Rattus norvegicus: one gene and its partner. The protein of the gene in region 2 binds, or shares a complex with, the protein of the main gene of each other region. Links are inferred from orthologs where the notes say so. Each region holds a gene or a part of one and is shown on either strand. Other genes may lie near its edges. The genes, in order: Smad1 and Yap1.

Region 1 (3,815 bases), on a different chromosome or scaffold from region 2:
CTGCCCCACCAGAGAACCTGAGTTTGGTTCCAGGCACCCGTGACTGCTCACAGTAGCTTATAACTCCTGCTACGAGAGCTCTGACACCCTCTGTGGCCTCCAGCAGCACACACACACGTTTTGGTCATAAATATACACACTGATATGAATAAAAAAAACTTTTAAATACCTTAGTGTAAATAAATGTTTTTAGTTGTACAAAAGTAACATTTAACTGTTAGTGTGATCAGTAGGAAACAGATGCCAAGGAGATAGCTTATTGGAGTCAAAACTTCTTCAAGAATTCAATAATCACAGCCCACCAAGGAACCTCAGGCACGGTTACCAAAGGCCCAGATCCATCCAGCCCTACAGACCATGAGGAGGTCTGAGAACAACCCATGTCTCCACCACAGTCCAAACACCCCCGCTCTCAAGGGTTCTTTCTTCCAAACAAAAACCACTTTGGCAAGAAGCTGGTCTCATTTTGTAAATCGCCTGAGCCAAAATGCTTGAGTCAAAAATTAAATGGTGCCTGTGAAAAATGAACAAGGACAGGCTCCGTGGTTGTATTTGCACACACTATACAGGTCAACTTCTTTAAGGGGTAAAAAAAGGCCTCCTTTAATATTAAAGAGGTGCCACATTCAGCTAAGGCGGGGAAGGGTGCCTTTGATCTGGGTGATGATGGGCAGAGCACAGCTCTGGAATCACCCGGTGATGAACCGCTAAACAGGCCCGGCGAGAAGTCACAGAGCTTTTGAAGACTGCACATGAAAGACGACTGCCTCGCCCAGGTTTGTAATTAGCGCTCTTCCTCAAGGTAAAGCGGGATAAAGACTTATCTTCGAGGCTTCAGAGACAAGGTGGTTGCTAGAATGTGCTGTCATCAGATGTGCCCTTTTTAAAAAACATTTCATTGGCATCAAAAAAATTTTTCAATTTTAGTGGCAGAAGAGGACTGAGGAGATATCTGTGATAAGCAATGACTCCTTTTTTTGATATCACACAATTCTCTTGGAACCAGGGCCTTGCTAACTTTTCAATTATACACAAAACACATAATTTACTAGAAATACATTTTAACGAAAAGCATCTGATCAACTAAAAAGAATTTCCAGTATAAATACATCTTTCACTATTTTTTTTTTACATCTATTTACTGCCCTCCCAGCCCTGTGTGTGTGTACATGTGGAGGTCAGAAAACAACCTGTAGGAGTTGGCTCTCTCTTTCTACCATGTGGGTCCCAGGAATCAAACTGCTGAAGGCACCTAAACGGTCATGCGCTGACCACAGATCCACAGCCAGTAGGCACCGGCATCCTGTGCATTCAGCCCACAGCCAGTAGGCACCGGCATCCTGTGCATTCAGCCCACAGCCAGTAGGCACCGGCATCCTGTGCATTCAGCCCACAGCCAGTAGGCACCAGCATCCTGTGAACTCAGAGCTAAGAGCAAAGAACAGGAGGAAGAAAGCTGATCTCACAGGACGGCCATGCATTTAAGCTACTTGTTGAATACATAGCATTCCCTATGCTATGACAGCAGCTATGGGGCTGGGGACATAGTGCAGTGGGGAGAGTACTGGCCTAGTGTCCCAGAGACCCCACAATGGGGCAATGGCAGCACACAGGTCAGGAAGCCTAGCCACTCTGGACACAGAGCTGACACACCTCCCCAGTGCCATCGACCCAGCTGCCTGGGCAATGTCAGACCCTCTCTCTAGCAACAGAGGTCTGACCAGGGCCAGCAAGATGGCTCAGCTGGGTAAAGGTGCCTGCCCCCAAGCCTGGGGATCTGAGTTCTATCCCTGGGACCCACACGGTGAGAGATTACATCGCTATGTTCCAAAGACAATTTTTTGGACACTGACCCTCTTGTAGAGGTTTGAAAAAGGAAGATACACCAAGAAGGCACAGATTCATATTCTGCGAGAGAGTGTGTACGTGTGTGGTGGAAGCATGTGCATGTGTGTATGCAGAGTGTTTGTGGTGGGGTAAGCATGTATGTGTGTGTGGGAGCATGTGTGTGTGTAATGGAGGGAGTGTGTATGTTTATGTGTGGAGTGTGTATGCGTGGTTGTGTGTGTGTGGTTGTGTGTGTGTGGTTGTGTGTGTGTAATGGAGGGAGTGTGTATGTTTGTGTGTGGTGGTGTGTCTGTGGTTCTGTGTGTGTGTGTGTGTGCAGCGTGTTTGTGGTGGGGGAAGCACAGATGTGTGTGTGAGCATCTGTGTGTAATGGAGGGAGTGTGTAAGTTTATGTGTGGAGTGTGTATGCGTGGTTGTGTGTGTGGTTTTGTGTGTAGAGTGTGTGGTTGTGTGTATGTTTGTGTGTGTGTGTGTGGTTGTATGTGTTGTTGTGTGGTTTTGTGTGTGTGTGGTGGTGTGTGTGTGGTTGTGTGTGCATGTGTGGGTGTATGTATGTTTGTGTGTATGTGTGTGGTTGTGTGTGCGTATGTGTGTATCCAGCCTGAATGAGATGGGTGGGCACTGCTCACCTTCACGAAGCTCATTCGAATAGTGCACATTTTGGTGAGTTCATACACTGTCTCGAACCCATGGTTCACAGACTGCGCCAGTAGCTGAGCGAACTCTTGGTTGTTGAAGATTTTCAAGCTGCACCCGCTGGGGATCTTGCAGACCGTGGTGGGATGAAAGCCATGGTGGTAGTTGCAGTTCCGACTCTGCACGAAGATGCTGCTGTCACTGAGGCACTCCGCATACACCTCTCCTCCGACGTAATAAAGGTGGACTCCTGTGAGAGACAGAGACAGACCGAGTCAGCCGGCTGTTATCTGGATGACAGGTGCCCTGGCAGTCAGGCTGGGCTGCTCTGACAAATCTCTGAGTTAACTATGCTACCCTTGTGTCAGTCAGCATGTTCAGGAAATAACAAAGTCTCTCAAAAATAATAAAGTATAACACTTTCATTTCAGTAAGTATTTAATGTCCCACTTGGCCAGGGTTGAAAGTATATCTGTGCTCTAAAAATAGAGTGCAGTAGGACCTAGAGTTCACTGGGGCATCCTGTGTGTTTAAAGTCCCCTGCATTTATGCCAGGGCTAAATTGTTCAGAAAACTTCAGAGAGATGGAAGCGATGATCAGTAAACACGGAGGGATGAAACCCGGGAGGAAGAAGTCCTACTGGGGGCTGAAAGGTGGGAGGTCCAGCTAAAAACAAAAGCTTCAGAAATAGGAAAAAAGGCGCGCGCGCGCGTGTGTGTGAAATAGAAGCTCACCAAAATAACCACTACAAACAATGCCTGAAAACGTCTCCCAGCTTAGAATGAATGCCAGCACCCCACCTTGAAGGTGGGGAGGAGGGCTCAGCGGCCTGAATCCTTTCCTGCTGAAGGTGGGGGAATCAATCCTGCAAAGCTGCCCTCTGGATGCCACGTGACTCCCGTCACACAGGAAGTGATTAAAAACAGGGAGAAGGAAAGCCCTCAAAGCCTCCGAGGGGGAACAAGCACCCAGCAAAAGTGGTGTGGCTCCAAACCTTGTCCATGCCTGGGGCACGGCGCTACCGTGACTGTCCGAGGAAACGCCATGCGGCATCTCTACCGATACATAGGGCTAGAAAACTACGGAAAAGAAAAGAAACTTTCTTCCTGGTAATAAAGATGACTTCTCATCTTAGAAAATCAAGGCAGGGTGTGAAACCGTAAAGAATGGAAAATACTAACAGTGCTTCAGTGACAGAAAACAATGCTTATGAGCGTGCATACACTGTGTTGATTTTGCAATCAGGAAAGCTTCTGAGAAACTTTTAAACCTCTGCCTGACTGCCCTGCTATCAACCAGTCACCAGTGTGGCAATAACTTTCTATTCCTG
Region 2 (4,470 bases):
CTGGAGACGAGTGAGCTCGAACGTGCTGGGGAGTCAGGGCTCCAGCAGTGCCCGCATCGGTACTGGCCTATGAGGAACAGCAAAGGAAAGTCAGCACAATGTAAATGTTACTTCACTGACGAACAGTCCATGTGAATTAATGTCTGCCCCCTAGACAGTGTGAAAACAAGGACTAGGCTAATAAGGTGACTTAGCAGCAGAGAACAATGATTACCCCATACAACCCAAAATAAATAAATCAGTAATTTTTCTAAGCAGTGTGGTTGCTTTTCCAGGTTCTAGAACAAAACCTGGAGATGACTGTGCACTTTTTCTTTGTTTTAAATATCTAATGTCCCCCCCATCTGTCACTTTGACTGTGAACAAATGTGATCAATAAATCAACCATTATAAATTATACGTTTAATGAATTCAGAGGCTCAGAACTGCACCAATGCTAAAAGCTCCCCAATGAAGAGAACAGGCCTAGAAAATAAAGACTTTATCAATTCAGTTTTAATTTGTGGATTCACACACAAATAACAGGGGGAGGGAGAAAGGAAAAATCTGCAAAGACCCCAATGATTCGAATTTGGGGTCTAGTCAGATCAATGTTAGACAGGTATCAGGAATGAACTTGTCTGTAAAGTAGTTTTTCCAAGCCAGAGGGGATATAAGAATTCTCAGGCAGGAGCCTATAGATGATTATTTACAAACTCAGATACATACTATTCATAATCTAATCCTTTTATTGGAACTAGGATTATCAAAACATTTGTTTTTCTAAATTAATTTTGATAAGAAGACTGAAGGGCCTCAGCAGTCATTTAAAGCCCCATAGCAAAAACCCCTGTTTTTGAGTTTCTAGGTAAGATTAAATTTTAGGAAATCATTAGCACATAGAAAAGGTGAATTTCTCTGAAAACGATAGAGAGAAGGCAAAAGTACCCACGAACGACCCAGTGGAACTAGGTACTGCATACTTTCCCGGGTACATTCCTTCTGACTGCTAAGTGCTACAAAATGGAGCGTTCAGTCTGGATATTCCTTCAAAGTTTCCCCGACCGTTTCTCAATTGCATGCCAACATACATTAGTTCAGTGAGTACAGAATCCCACTTGGGGGAGGGAGCAATGAATAGTATCTAGGTCTACTGTTGTTACAAATTAAGAGTTTATTTAGACTAGCAGCTACATAACTTTTCCTTCCTCCGTAAGTAGACTTTTTGTAGGAGGTTAATCGAGATTTTCGTGGCTCCAACAACCCGGTTCTACAGCAGGCCTGCCTAGGAGGGGGGCTGGAGTGGGGGCGGAAACTCTTCTTTCCACTCAAGTTACAGCCCGAGTGGGCTAACAACATGGCAGTGTTTGGAAAACCAATTAAGTTTTGGGCAAAGATCCTATACTGGTTTAGCCTAAAGCAAGTTCTTTAAAAATTAAGTAATTAAAAAGAGAAAGCGGGGAGGGGGGGGTTCGGGAGGGGAAAAAGACACTGAAGAAAAATCTACCAGGACCTATCGGAATGTTAATACTTTGAAACGGTTTCACTTCTGTGTTGGATCCAGTTGGGAAAATAACCAGGCGTCGTGGATGTGGATAAGCAGCCATGTTCACATCCGCAGTCAGTTAAAGAGCAATGGCGAGCCTGGAATTAGTCATTGCTTCCCAAACATTACCTTTAATCACAGTTGAGCCAGGCAGAACTCGGCCTATGAGTCAACCTGCAACGCGCTATCAAAGGCCAGCGCAGAAACCTCTGCACCGTGAGCGCGCCGAGCTCCTGCGCAACGCACAGACGTGGCTCATTTAAAAGCTTTCGGGCCGAACAGTAAATAATAGGTTACGATTGGGAAAGGGACACGTGAGCCCACCGAGTGTGAAAGGATCCCGCCCGCGCGAGTTCCAGGGTACCGCAGAGGCGAGCGGAGGACGAGGGAGCTCGGCCAACTCTCGGGATCGCCGGGGCAGGGGAGACCGAACCCTGCACCCGGACCGCGCCTGGGCCGCGAGAGCAGAAAAGCTTTCGGGAGAGGGAGGGGGAGGGGACGAGAAGGAACCAGAAACTCAATGGACCGGTTCAACCCCCACCCCTCACCGACACGGGAAAACAAGAGGGTAGTTAACGCGGCTCCACGGGACACTCCAGTGGAGCGGGAAGGGGAGACCGTGTACCCCAGGCCTGGAGTCCTGCACGGGACGCCGGGCCCCCTCCCCCCACCTCCCCTCCCCCATGGTCGGAGCGAAGGTGCGGAGCGGAGGCGCGCGCATTGTGCTGCCCCCGCGGCCGCCAACTCCGCGAAAACAACCCCCAGCCCAGCACCCCCACGCGGCCCCGGGCCCCCGCGTTGTCCTTACCTGTCGCGAGTGGGACTTGGGCTCAGGCGGCTTGAAGAAGGAGTCGGGCAGCTTGCGAAGCCTCATGGGCACGGTCTGTGGCACGTTGGCCGTCTTGGGGTTCATGACGGCGTTGAAAAGCGCTTCCAGGTCGGTCTCCGAGTCCCCGCGGACGTGCACGACCTGGTGACCCGCCGGGGGTGCGGGCGGGGCCGCGGGGGTCCCGGCCGGAGACACCGACGGCGGCGCGGGGCCTTGCGGGGCCGGCTGGGGCGGCGGCTGTTGCGCGGGCTCCATGGCTGCGGCCTCGTTCGACGCTCGGGGCGCTGCGCTCAGGTTCGGGGGGCTGCGTCGCGCGCCCGCATCGCCCTGCACTCCTTGCCCGAGGCCCCCTCCCCTCCCCTTCGTGAGCTCCTTCCTTCCTCCCTTTCTTTGCCCCGGGCCGCGGCGGCGTCCCAACTGAGACAGAAACTTCGGCTCTAGACGCCCAAACTAAAAAGTTGCGAGGAGCGCCCGCCCGCGCGCCTCGCGGGCTCCGCCTCCTCGTCGCTCTTCCTTCCTCTGCGCGCCCGCCCGCACCGAATCCGCGGGCCCCGGGAAACTTTCCCTGCGCGTCGTTACATTCCTGCAGACTCCCTGCCGCACGTGACCCGGAGGCGACCGCGCTGCGTGCGCACCCACCGGCCGGCCCGGAGCGGCGCGTCTGCGGGCGCAGACCCTGCCGGACCGGCGCGCAACGCCAAGGCCGCCAGAAATCCCGACAGCCCGCTGGGCAGGCTGGATGCAAAGGCGACGCTGTTCGCCTGCACTGATTTTAATCCGGTCCGCGTTTTAACATTGATTCCATTTACCACAAGTTGGAAGAAGAAACAACAAAACACTTGAGGGCGGGTGTAAATGATTACATAGTGAAGCTTGGAACCAGGAGTTGACTCAGAGTATCTAACAAAAAGAAGCATAGTATTACTTTTTTAAAAAGTTTTGTTTTAAGCAGGTTTAGCCCTGTAGCCAAGGATATCCTCCAACTCCGGACAATCTTCGTGCCACAACTTCCCGACTACTAGGATTCCCAAGTGAGGGCCTCTGCTAGCCCGGTTTTTGTAAATTCGTTCTCTTTCCTTTTCTATTCTTTCTTTTTTCTTTTCCTTTTCTTTCTCTTTCTTCCTTTCCTTCCTTCTTTCCTTCCTTTCTTCTTTCTAATTATATTGATTGAGTGAGCACACTTGCACAGGTGAAGGTCAGAGGGCAATTTTTGGGATCTGTTTTCTTCCTGACTGTGGGTCCCAGAAATCGAACTCAGGTACCCTGAGCCATCTCACTTGGAGCACTGACTGTCTTTCAACTCACTACATAACTGAGGCTGGCTTTAAATTTCCGCTCCCCCTACCTCAGCCTATAAAGGGATAGGATTACAAATGTGGGCAGCCTTGCTCAGCAAACCATTTTTTTAAGTGAAAAATCATGCCAATTTTTTAACATCAAGACTTGATATTTCACTGGGAACATCAACTCCAAACAAAAGTCACTGTTGAACTTGAAGGAGCATGTTGGTTTTCCTTCTTGTGCTTGGTACAAGGTTAGACAATGTGAAGAGAACAGGACACGAACCTCAATGGAGAGCACCTTAACCCCGTTCTCTGTGTGTCAGTCTTCTATCAGAAGCCTATTTGGAATAAAAAATGATAAAAATCTGTGTTTTTTAAGTTAATTATTGATATTGGGTGTTTTGCCTGACTATATATGTCTTTGCCTAGGTCTCACAGCGGCCGAAAGAGGGTGTTAGATTCTGTGGAATTGGAGTACAACTGGTTGTGAGAAGCTATGTAGTTGCAGGGATTCGAACCTGGATCCTCTTAGGAACCAGTACTTTTCGTGACTGGCCATCTCTTCAGTCCCTTGTTGAAGTCATGAGGTACAGAACAAAAAATAGTTTCATTGAAATATAACTCACATAACTATAGTTTTCCACTTAAGCAGTTTGGTGCTTTTTGAGTATATTTCCAGAGTTGTGCAACACTGATTTTAAACACAGAAATTTCTTCTCCAGAAATCTGGTTTCTTGTGTTAATGATTTTGTCTGCAGTGTGAGTGAAACAGGTATAAATAGGATTAAGCAAAGAAAGGACCCTTGAGCAAAAAGATAATCTCTTTCTCTAGT

The links.
Region 1: the proteins of Yap1 (region 2) and Smad1 are in contact, whole or in part, in an NMR structure (PDB 2LAW), measured with the Homo sapiens proteins. The link is inferred for Rattus norvegicus from reciprocal best matches to the Homo sapiens genes YAP1 and SMAD1. Residues at the interface, in NP_001123617.1 of Homo sapiens: Glu237, Ala239, Met240, Thr241, Tyr247, Ile249, Asn250, His251, Lys254, Thr255, Thr256, Trp258; in NP_001003688.1 of Homo sapiens: Thr222, Pro223, Pro224, Pro225, Ala226, Tyr227, Leu228, Pro229, Pro230, Glu231, Asp232, Pro233.

What each region holds. Positions count from the first base shown.
Region 1 is NC_086037.1:45,469,293-45,473,107, reverse strand, and holds part of Smad1 (mothers against decapentaplegic homolog 1), read right to left. Parts: intron 2,735-3,815; coding exon 2,478-2,734; intron 1-2,477. UniProt on the Homo sapiens protein: Transcriptional modulator that plays a role in various cellular processes, including embryonic development, cell differentiation, and tissue homeostasis.
Region 2 is NC_086026.1:13,448,616-13,453,085, forward strand, and holds the start of Yap1 (transcriptional coactivator YAP1 2), read right to left. Parts: upstream 2,823-4,470; 5' UTR 2,610-2,822; coding exon 2,334-2,609; intron 68-2,333; coding exon 1-67. UniProt on the Homo sapiens protein: Transcriptional regulator with dual roles as a coactivator and corepressor. Critical downstream regulatory target in the Hippo signaling pathway, crucial for organ size control and tumor suppression by restricting proliferation and promoting apoptosis.